2 linked regions of the Coturnix japonica genome follow. The protein of the gene in region 1 binds, or shares a complex with, the protein of each later gene. Links are inferred from orthologs where the notes say so. Each region holds a gene or a part of one and is shown on either strand. Other genes may lie near its edges.

What was found.
Region 2: EPC1 (region 1) and VPS72 share a complex: the UniProt entries of both Homo sapiens proteins name them as parts of the nuA4-related complex. The link is inferred for Coturnix japonica from reciprocal best matches to the Homo sapiens genes EPC1 and VPS72.

The regions. Positions count from the first base shown.
Region 1 is NC_029517.1:12,814,575-12,818,086, reverse strand, and holds part of EPC1 (enhancer of polycomb homolog 1), read right to left. Parts: intron 2,589-3,512; coding exon 2,443-2,588; intron 2,357-2,442; coding exon 2,150-2,356; intron 1,749-2,149; coding exon 1,600-1,748; intron 419-1,599; coding exon 259-418; intron 1-258. UniProt on the Homo sapiens protein: Component of the NuA4 histone acetyltransferase (HAT) complex, a multiprotein complex involved in transcriptional activation of select genes principally by acetylation of nucleosomal histones H4 and H2A.
Region 2 is NC_029540.1:2,245,309-2,249,487, forward strand, and holds VPS72 (vacuolar protein sorting-associated protein 72 homolog), read right to left. Parts: upstream 2,801-4,179; 5' UTR 2,738-2,800; coding exon 2,621-2,737; intron 2,056-2,620; coding exon 1,903-2,055; intron 1,702-1,902; coding exon 1,590-1,701; intron 1,481-1,589; coding exon 1,301-1,480; intron 1,216-1,300; coding exon 1,074-1,215; intron 906-1,073; coding exon 524-905; 3' UTR 438-523; downstream 1-437. UniProt on the Homo sapiens protein: Deposition-and-exchange histone chaperone specific for H2AZ1, specifically chaperones H2AZ1 and deposits it into nucleosomes.

The DNA of each region.
Region 1 (3,512 bases):
GCTACCATTAAGCAAACTAAAGAGTAACATCACCACTCCAGCATCTTAATAGTGACACAAGCAGACCTCTCAAGAATATTTCTATCTCACAGCTATTAACTGGAATGTTTAAACTGTAAGTTGGAATTAAGCACCATTTGTTCTACTGCCATCCCACACAGAACACCCAATCAAGCACATTTTCTGTAGCTATATCCTAAAATGCTGCAGTTTGCTCAAGTCACAGCACCTAACGACTCTGTTACTGCCATTACTCACTTTGTTAACTTTATATTCTTTCAGTTCCATCGTTTCTTGATGTTTGAAAGGACTGCTGTTAGTCACAGGAATGATGGGAATAGCGTAAGTAGGTTTCATTGGCTGCCGCTGTGCCATGACCTCAGACACAATCTCTCCACTGTAATCACCCAAATTATACCTGTAATTTAAAAAGTGTAAAAGAACAAGACTGCTTTAAATATTGCTAGTGCTTGTCTGGTAAAAACACAGAACAACATGCAACAGTTAAACACAGAGTAACAGCACTTCCCATTTGGGGTAAGAAGGACTTCCAAGATGTCAGCAACAAGTTCAAAAATGACTATTGCAGGAGACCAACAGCACGCAGATTTTTTCTGCCATGCCCAGTTCTGACAAGGGGAACCATCTGTAATACACCCAACATAACATAATGCAAAGGGTTCTACAGAGAGGCAGAGCCTTGTGCACAAATCCCCTCTGTGCAACAGCACAGCTTTGTAAGATGTAGAACCATGAAACATATTGCATTTCAAGATCTGTGCTAATTTGATGGTCTGGATTTTTTTAGTCATTTTAGCCTTCAAGAGTTCACCTGCTTAGAAAAGCCAGTGCGTCTCTCTACTGGGCATGGTCAGTGCTTAAAAAAGAGCACCTGTTAGAAAGGACTGAGACACTCAGCTCGTGTTCCCAAGATCTCAAACTAAATCACAAGCTGTTTTGTTTTAGAGCCTTACAGCACTGACTCAAAATGTTTTAAGTTTTCAAACATGGATGCTTAGATCTGAGAAGTCCATTCAGATTCTAAATATCAACTGCTAAACAACCAACCCTACATCTCAAATGTGATTCTCAACTCATTGGGAAAGTGACAACTGACAAAGTGGAGCATTTGGTCTCTGCACAGCTGTTGAACAGGATGTCAACAGAAACAAGTTGGAAACAACTCCCAGAACAGTACATTGTGCTGAATGAAATGCTTGTTTTCTTTGACAGGATATTCCCTCATCTACACAGTTATTAAGTTTAACATTTCCATAGGAATTTACCTGAAGCTATAGTCTTCCTTACTACATAATACACAGGACGTAAGATAATTATGTTTTAACACACACGTAATAGAACAAAGCACATTAGCGATACCCATTTTGAAAAAGCAGCCTGCTTTTTTTTCAGTAACTCCCTAAATTCAATTCTGCTCTTCAGTGTCATAAAAGAGAATAGAATATGCCATATTGTTAACAAAGCAAAATGCAAATCTCTTTGCTAAGACAATATCGCATATTATATAAAACATTCATAGGAGCTGACATCTATAGCAGTTTCTGAAGCTTTCTGCAGCACATCTGCAATAACCATTACCTCTTTTCGATAATTTCCAGTGTTAAATGCAGCAATTCCCTCTTGCTCTTTTCCCTCCTCTTTATCATCTCCAGGATGGTTACTGCACGGCTCAGGTCTCGCCGCAGTTTAAGCATCTTCTCATAGGACGCTTCATCATTTTTTCGATTCTGTAGAGGCAAAGTGGTTCATGTTTTCCCACATCATTTAAATAACATAACCTGAACTAAACTAAACTGTAAGTGTTCAGTTCTTTTAAAACATGTGCTAAAACAAATTTAGAGAAACGTGTGCATCTACCAATCAGCTACAGCTTTCTACCATCACAAGTAGGTTTAGCAGCCAATTTAGAGAGAAAATAAATACTGAATACAAACTTCCTTCAGTAACTGGTCTCAAGTGCTTCATCTTTTTTTCCATCCCCCCCCTTACAAATTAAAAGAGAAAAAACACAAAAAGGCATCTTGTATTGTTTTACACTACGTAGCAAGTTTGTCTCTTCAGATAAGCTCTTATGAGAGGGAGGAGAAAGAAGAGGAAACAAGTAACAGGGAAGTATTAATCTACTTACTTTCCTTGTCTGCATCTTTTCTGTTCGTCTCCTAAAAGCAACGTAAGGATCATTTGTGCTGGAGCCATCTCGCTTCTCTTGTTTCACCGCTGGGATAAGAGAGGGCCCTCGACAGTTTTTCCTCTTTTTAATCCAGTACTCGTATACTTCTCTGATCAATTCATCGTCTTCTTTCAGCAACAGCTTGGCCTCTTGCAGGCTGACTGGCTAAATGTAAAACCCAGTATGTCATTGTCATAAGGCATCACAGACAAAGCGTATTTCAGAATTCTTTATTCAAAGCAACCCCATACCTGCTGGCCGCTGCCCTTCTCTAGTCGGTCTATCATCTCTTCAAATTGCAAAGGAGAGATATCCATCCTTTTCTTCAACTTATTGACAAAGACCTCATCTTCTGAATCCATGTCATAATCCGGCTGCTCAGCGTCCAAACTAAAAGCTGAATGATACAATTCAAGCTCAAGTCACTGATCTACTACAGAAACGTTCTGTTCTAACAGCAGTGTCTGCAATACGTGCCAGATTCTTCTGAAGACAAAACCAAAATGATGTTTGCACACTGTGCTAACACTACTCAGAAGTAGCATCTGCCTTTCTATTGAAATATCAAAGATAGACACTGATATCTACATAAACATGCTCATTTTAACTAATGAAAACTTTACAGTGTCTCTATATAGATATATATAGGTATTCATCCCCATTAGATCCAGTGAGAATCAGCTGGATTGGTCAAACCTTCCACCATCTCATGTTCCATAACTGTCCATGTTGTAGCATTCATGTCAGAAGTTAAGACTCCAGCTTAAATGCATTAAGAAGCTCCTAGAGAACTACGTGCACAGCGTAACAGAGACCTCACAAATCACAATGACTTGTGATAAAAAAGGTGTCAGACCAAACTCGTCCAACAGCATCTCCTATGTATGCATTGTAGCAAGGGACCTTCAAATATAAATCACGTATAGCAGAACAAGCTGTTCAGTTTTCCACAACATCCTCTGAAAATACAACATTCAGCATCCAGCACATCCCTGGATCTCAGTTTCATGCCAACTGCTTTGGTTCCCAAGAATACTAATTTCTTAAGGATTCATTCCACACTGTGAAAAGCATCACTGGCTTTTAAAAGATGCAGCTGAATGTTGTCATAGCAACTGAGAGACCACCAGAAGAAAAGGAAGAGTCAAAAACTGCACCTTGGTATCAGCACATAAGACTCCTGGTATTAGTCTCTCCATTTGCTTATTAGAGCATGCTGTTCTGCTGCTACTTCAGCTTATTACTGAAGATCAGACTGACAGAGAAGCTTAACATTAAGCCAGTTATCAACACATAATTACACATATGTACACACACAAAA
Region 2 (4,179 bases), on another chromosome or scaffold:
AGATCAGCGTTTTATTCTGCGAGCCGGCAGTGGGGAGGGGCGAGATCACATATCCCGCTGTTATCGAGCCCTACCAGCGCCCCGCGCTGCTCCACCCGGTACCCGCCGCCCTCAGGAGCCCCCCCCACCCCCCCGGGGCATCGGGGCTCATCGCTGCGTCCGCCCCATCGGGGGGGGGGTGAAGGTTTGGGGTTGGTGCTGTGGGAGGCACCTCTATCACCGCAGAGAGAGGCTGCCCCACATGTCCCGGAGCTGCCCCACATCCCACAGCTCTGAGACCGCCTGTGTGCCCTTCTCACCTCCAGCCCCAATCTGAACACTATGGGAGGGTGTGTGGGGCACTGCATGGATCTGCCTGCAAACAAGGCTTCATTTCATCCTGCTGGATAACCCAGCAACAAGGGCACGACCTGCGCTCCCCCCTCACCTCCAGCTCCTTCTTTTTTCTCCTTTTTATTACAAAAAAGAAGCCAAGAAAACAACAACACAAAACAGGTTGACATGGAACAAGGAACAGGCGCTCTCAGGCCGTGGGCACGCTCTGCTTGATGATGATCTTCTGCCGCGTGGCTCTCAGACCAGGGTCAGGGCCAGGAGGAGCAGCCCCCAAAGCAGCGGATGCAGCAGCGGCGCTGGGCAGCCCGTGGGCCGTGATGTATTTCTTGTAAGCCTCACGGATGATTTTAAAGGCTCGGATGTTGGAATAGGGGATGTCAGTGATGGGGTCACGATATACAGCGGGTTTGTGGGTTACAGGGCAGATCTCCCGCACCGGCAACCGCGGAGCCTTCGATTTGGGGAAGAAACGTTCAAAGGTTTCATCATCAGTGAAGGAGATGAAGGTGCGGGAGCACTTGGAGCTGGAGGCTGGAGCAGCTTCTGCCTGCTGAGGGTCTTGGTCCAACCTGGAAGAGCCACAATCAGCTCTAAGGGATGCACGGAGCTGGGGGAGCCCAGGCTGTGGGCAGCACTAAACATGCTGCTCCACACTGAGCCCCAGGGATGGGAGCGATGGGGACTGTGTGCAGCATAAGGGAAAAGCATCAGGATCCCATCTGCTGTTCCCAACTCACCCCTCCACGTCCACATTCTCCTCCTTGCCCAGCTCTGTGATGAGGGGCATGGTGACGGACCAGTACCGGATCACGGGCCCCACGCATTTCCTCTTCTTCTGCACCTGCTTCTTCTTATCAGCCTCCAGGCGTTCGTAGTTCTCTGGGGAAGCAGAGATGAGCCCAGAGGGTCTCAGCACCCCCCACTACACCCCCCATCCCATTCCCAATCCCTGTGCTCTCCTCACCCAGCGAGCGGAGGTTGATCTCCTCCGTGATCTTGGCCTCCTCCAGCAGCTCCTCCTGTGTCAGCGGGCGGTCGTAGTTGGGGCCTCCCTTCTTGCGCTTGGATTGAACCTGGCGCTCCTGGATACGCAGGAAGGTCTGACGTGTGTGCTCTGTTGTTGACTGCCTCATGTGCTTCCGGCCTGCAGTGGGAGGATGGGGCTCAGTGTGGGGCCAGCACAGCTCCCAGGGCAGTGGGGTGCCTGGTTCCAGCCCAGGGATGCTGGCACATCCCATCCTGACTGCACTCACTGTCTCCTACTTCATCCTGGAGTTCCAGTGGGGCTAATTTCACCTCTCGGGCCTTTTGGGAGCTGCTGCTGGGGGTGTCGGCCTTCTTGGGTCGAAGGCTCTTGATGGGCTCCTAAGGGTTGGGCAGGAGGGATGTGAGGAGGGAGAAACCACATGGGGCTGCCCCATGTCCTCCAAGGGACACGTCCTCCCCACAGTCAGCAATTAGCAGATTGCTAATTATCCCATCCATCTGGGGCCATCCGTATCCCTTCCCAGCAGGTCAGAGGACACTGGGATGGACCCAGCCCCATCCCCACTTTCCCCTCCTCACCCTGTAGGCCTTGGTGACCACGCGGCGGCGCCGTTTGGGTTCGCTCTCATCCTGGTCGCTCGTCGGTTCCTCGCCCTCATCGATGTCAAAGTCGGAGTCCACCTCATCGTCACTGTCCGACTGGTCGCCCCGGTACTCATCATCCCCCGACTCCTGCAGGGACAGATGGGCAGCGTCACAGCCAGGGCTGCGCTCCACCACCCCCCCATGGGCCATTCATTGACAGCTGCCCCTGGGGGTCCTCCCAGCCCCATTTGGAGCCCCTGTTAAAGACCATCTAAAGCCACCCCTGCCCCATTCTGTCCTCCTAAGTGCCTCCGTCCCCATTCTGACCCCTCAGTGCCCCCAGCCCCTCCAGGACCCCCCCCAGTTTCCCTCACCAACCCCTTCAGGGCTCTAAATGTCCCCGATCCCACTCAGCCTCCATTGCAACCCTCTCATCTCCCCTCACACCCCCATAAATCCCCTTCCAGGCCTCCCCTGAGGACCCCCCGCACCCCCCCGACCCCCTTTAGGCCCCGGGTTCCCTCCCAACCCCCGTCTAAGGCCTCACAACCCCCTCAAACCCTTCAGTCCACCTCACACCCCCATAAATCTCCTTCCTGACGACTCCCCGGACCCCTCACGACCCCCGACCCCCTTTAGGCCCCGGGTCCCCCCTCTAAGGCTTCACACCGCCCCGCAGCCCCCCTGCCCCAGCCCGTCCCGGCCGTCGCACCTCAGTGAACCCCCCATACGTGGTCTGGTAGAACTCATCCTCCTCCTCGGCCTCCAACAATCCCGACAGCCGGTTCCCCGCCGTGCGCCGCGGGGCGCGGCCTTCAGCCAAACTCATCGCGGCGCCTCCGCCGCCATCGGCGCTCGACTCGTCGTCCTGCCGTAGGGGCGGAGCGAACGATGTAGCGCCCCCTTGCGGCCCGGAGGTCCGGAAGACTGGGTTGATTTCTATTGGCTGCTCGAGGAGCACGTGACTCACATCCCCCCCCTCCTCCATACGTGGGTGGTACCGAGGGGGCGTGGCCTCGCGCGAGGCGGCGGCGGGCGCAGGAGGCGGCAAGATGGCGGCGGCGGGGCCCGAGTCGGGGGGCAGCAGCGGCAGCAGCGGCGGCCTCGGGGGTACGGGGGGACTAAGGCCGGGCCCGGGGGCGGCGGGGGAGGCGGAGCTGAGAGCCGGAGGGACGAGGAGCGGCTGGTGGGGGGGGGGGGGGGGGGGGGGGGGGGGGGGGGGGGGGGGGGGGGGGGGGGGGGGGGGGGGGGGGGGGGCGGGGGGGGGGGGGGGGGGGGGGGGGGGGGGGTTGAGGTGACGGTCTCCCCCTGCCCGGTGGGGTGTCGCGGCCGTTGGGGGCTGTGGGGCCGTTTGGCACCGTGTGGGGGGGAGGGGGGTTGGTCACCATATAGTGATGTATGTGGGGGATATGGGGGGTGTGGGGCTGCCCTCGGCCCGGGGTAGGGATGATGGGGGGCACTTAGAGCTGCGATTCGGCCGTGTCAGTGTTGAGAGGGGGCTTACACTCCTTATTGCCTTCGAAGTTGGTGGTAATGGGTCTGGTTTAGGGATGCTGGACGTGGAACCGGAGTGATTTCTACCGCCGTCCCTGGCACAGAGCGCTGAGGCCGTTCCTGATTGCAGGGCAGAGCACGGAGAGCTTCTGGTTGCCCAAAGGGGGACGGCTGGGGGGCTGCTGCCCAGCGGGGCCTCATCTCGGCGGCCTCCTGGCATCGCGCTCCTCATTTGGAGCCTCTGGAAATGGGTCTGTGCCCCCTCCCCGCCCCCTTTGTTGGTGCTCCCTGCTGTTCCCACGGCGCTGTGAGGAATGGGGGGGTCCGTGGCTCTGCCGGCTCAGGGTGAAGCTGCTCTTTCTCCTCCCGCCGTGCTTTGAGTTCCCTTTGGGAGCTCGGAGATGTCACACATCTCACCTCTCTCACCCGGAGGAGGAGCTGCCGCCTCCATAAAGCTCAGAGAGCGTGGAGAGCTTCACATGGGATAGAAGTGCACGAGTCTCAACCTCTTCTCCCTCCCTGCTGGGATCTGCGCCGCCGTTTGCTTTGCAGGGCAGTCTGGTGTTGGTCAGGGTGTTTTTCCTGCTGGGTTTCAATCTTGGTGGCAGAGCTGCGTGATGTGAAGTGCGTTCACTTCGGCTGATCCCCAGCAGTGCAGCATTTAAAGCTCTCATCCCATCTCTGGGGCCTCTCTTAGACTAAAGGGGGTGTCGGGGGGGGTGGTCGGTGGTTGTGGGGCTGATTGCTCTGGGTACGGGGCATTATTTTTTCTAATGC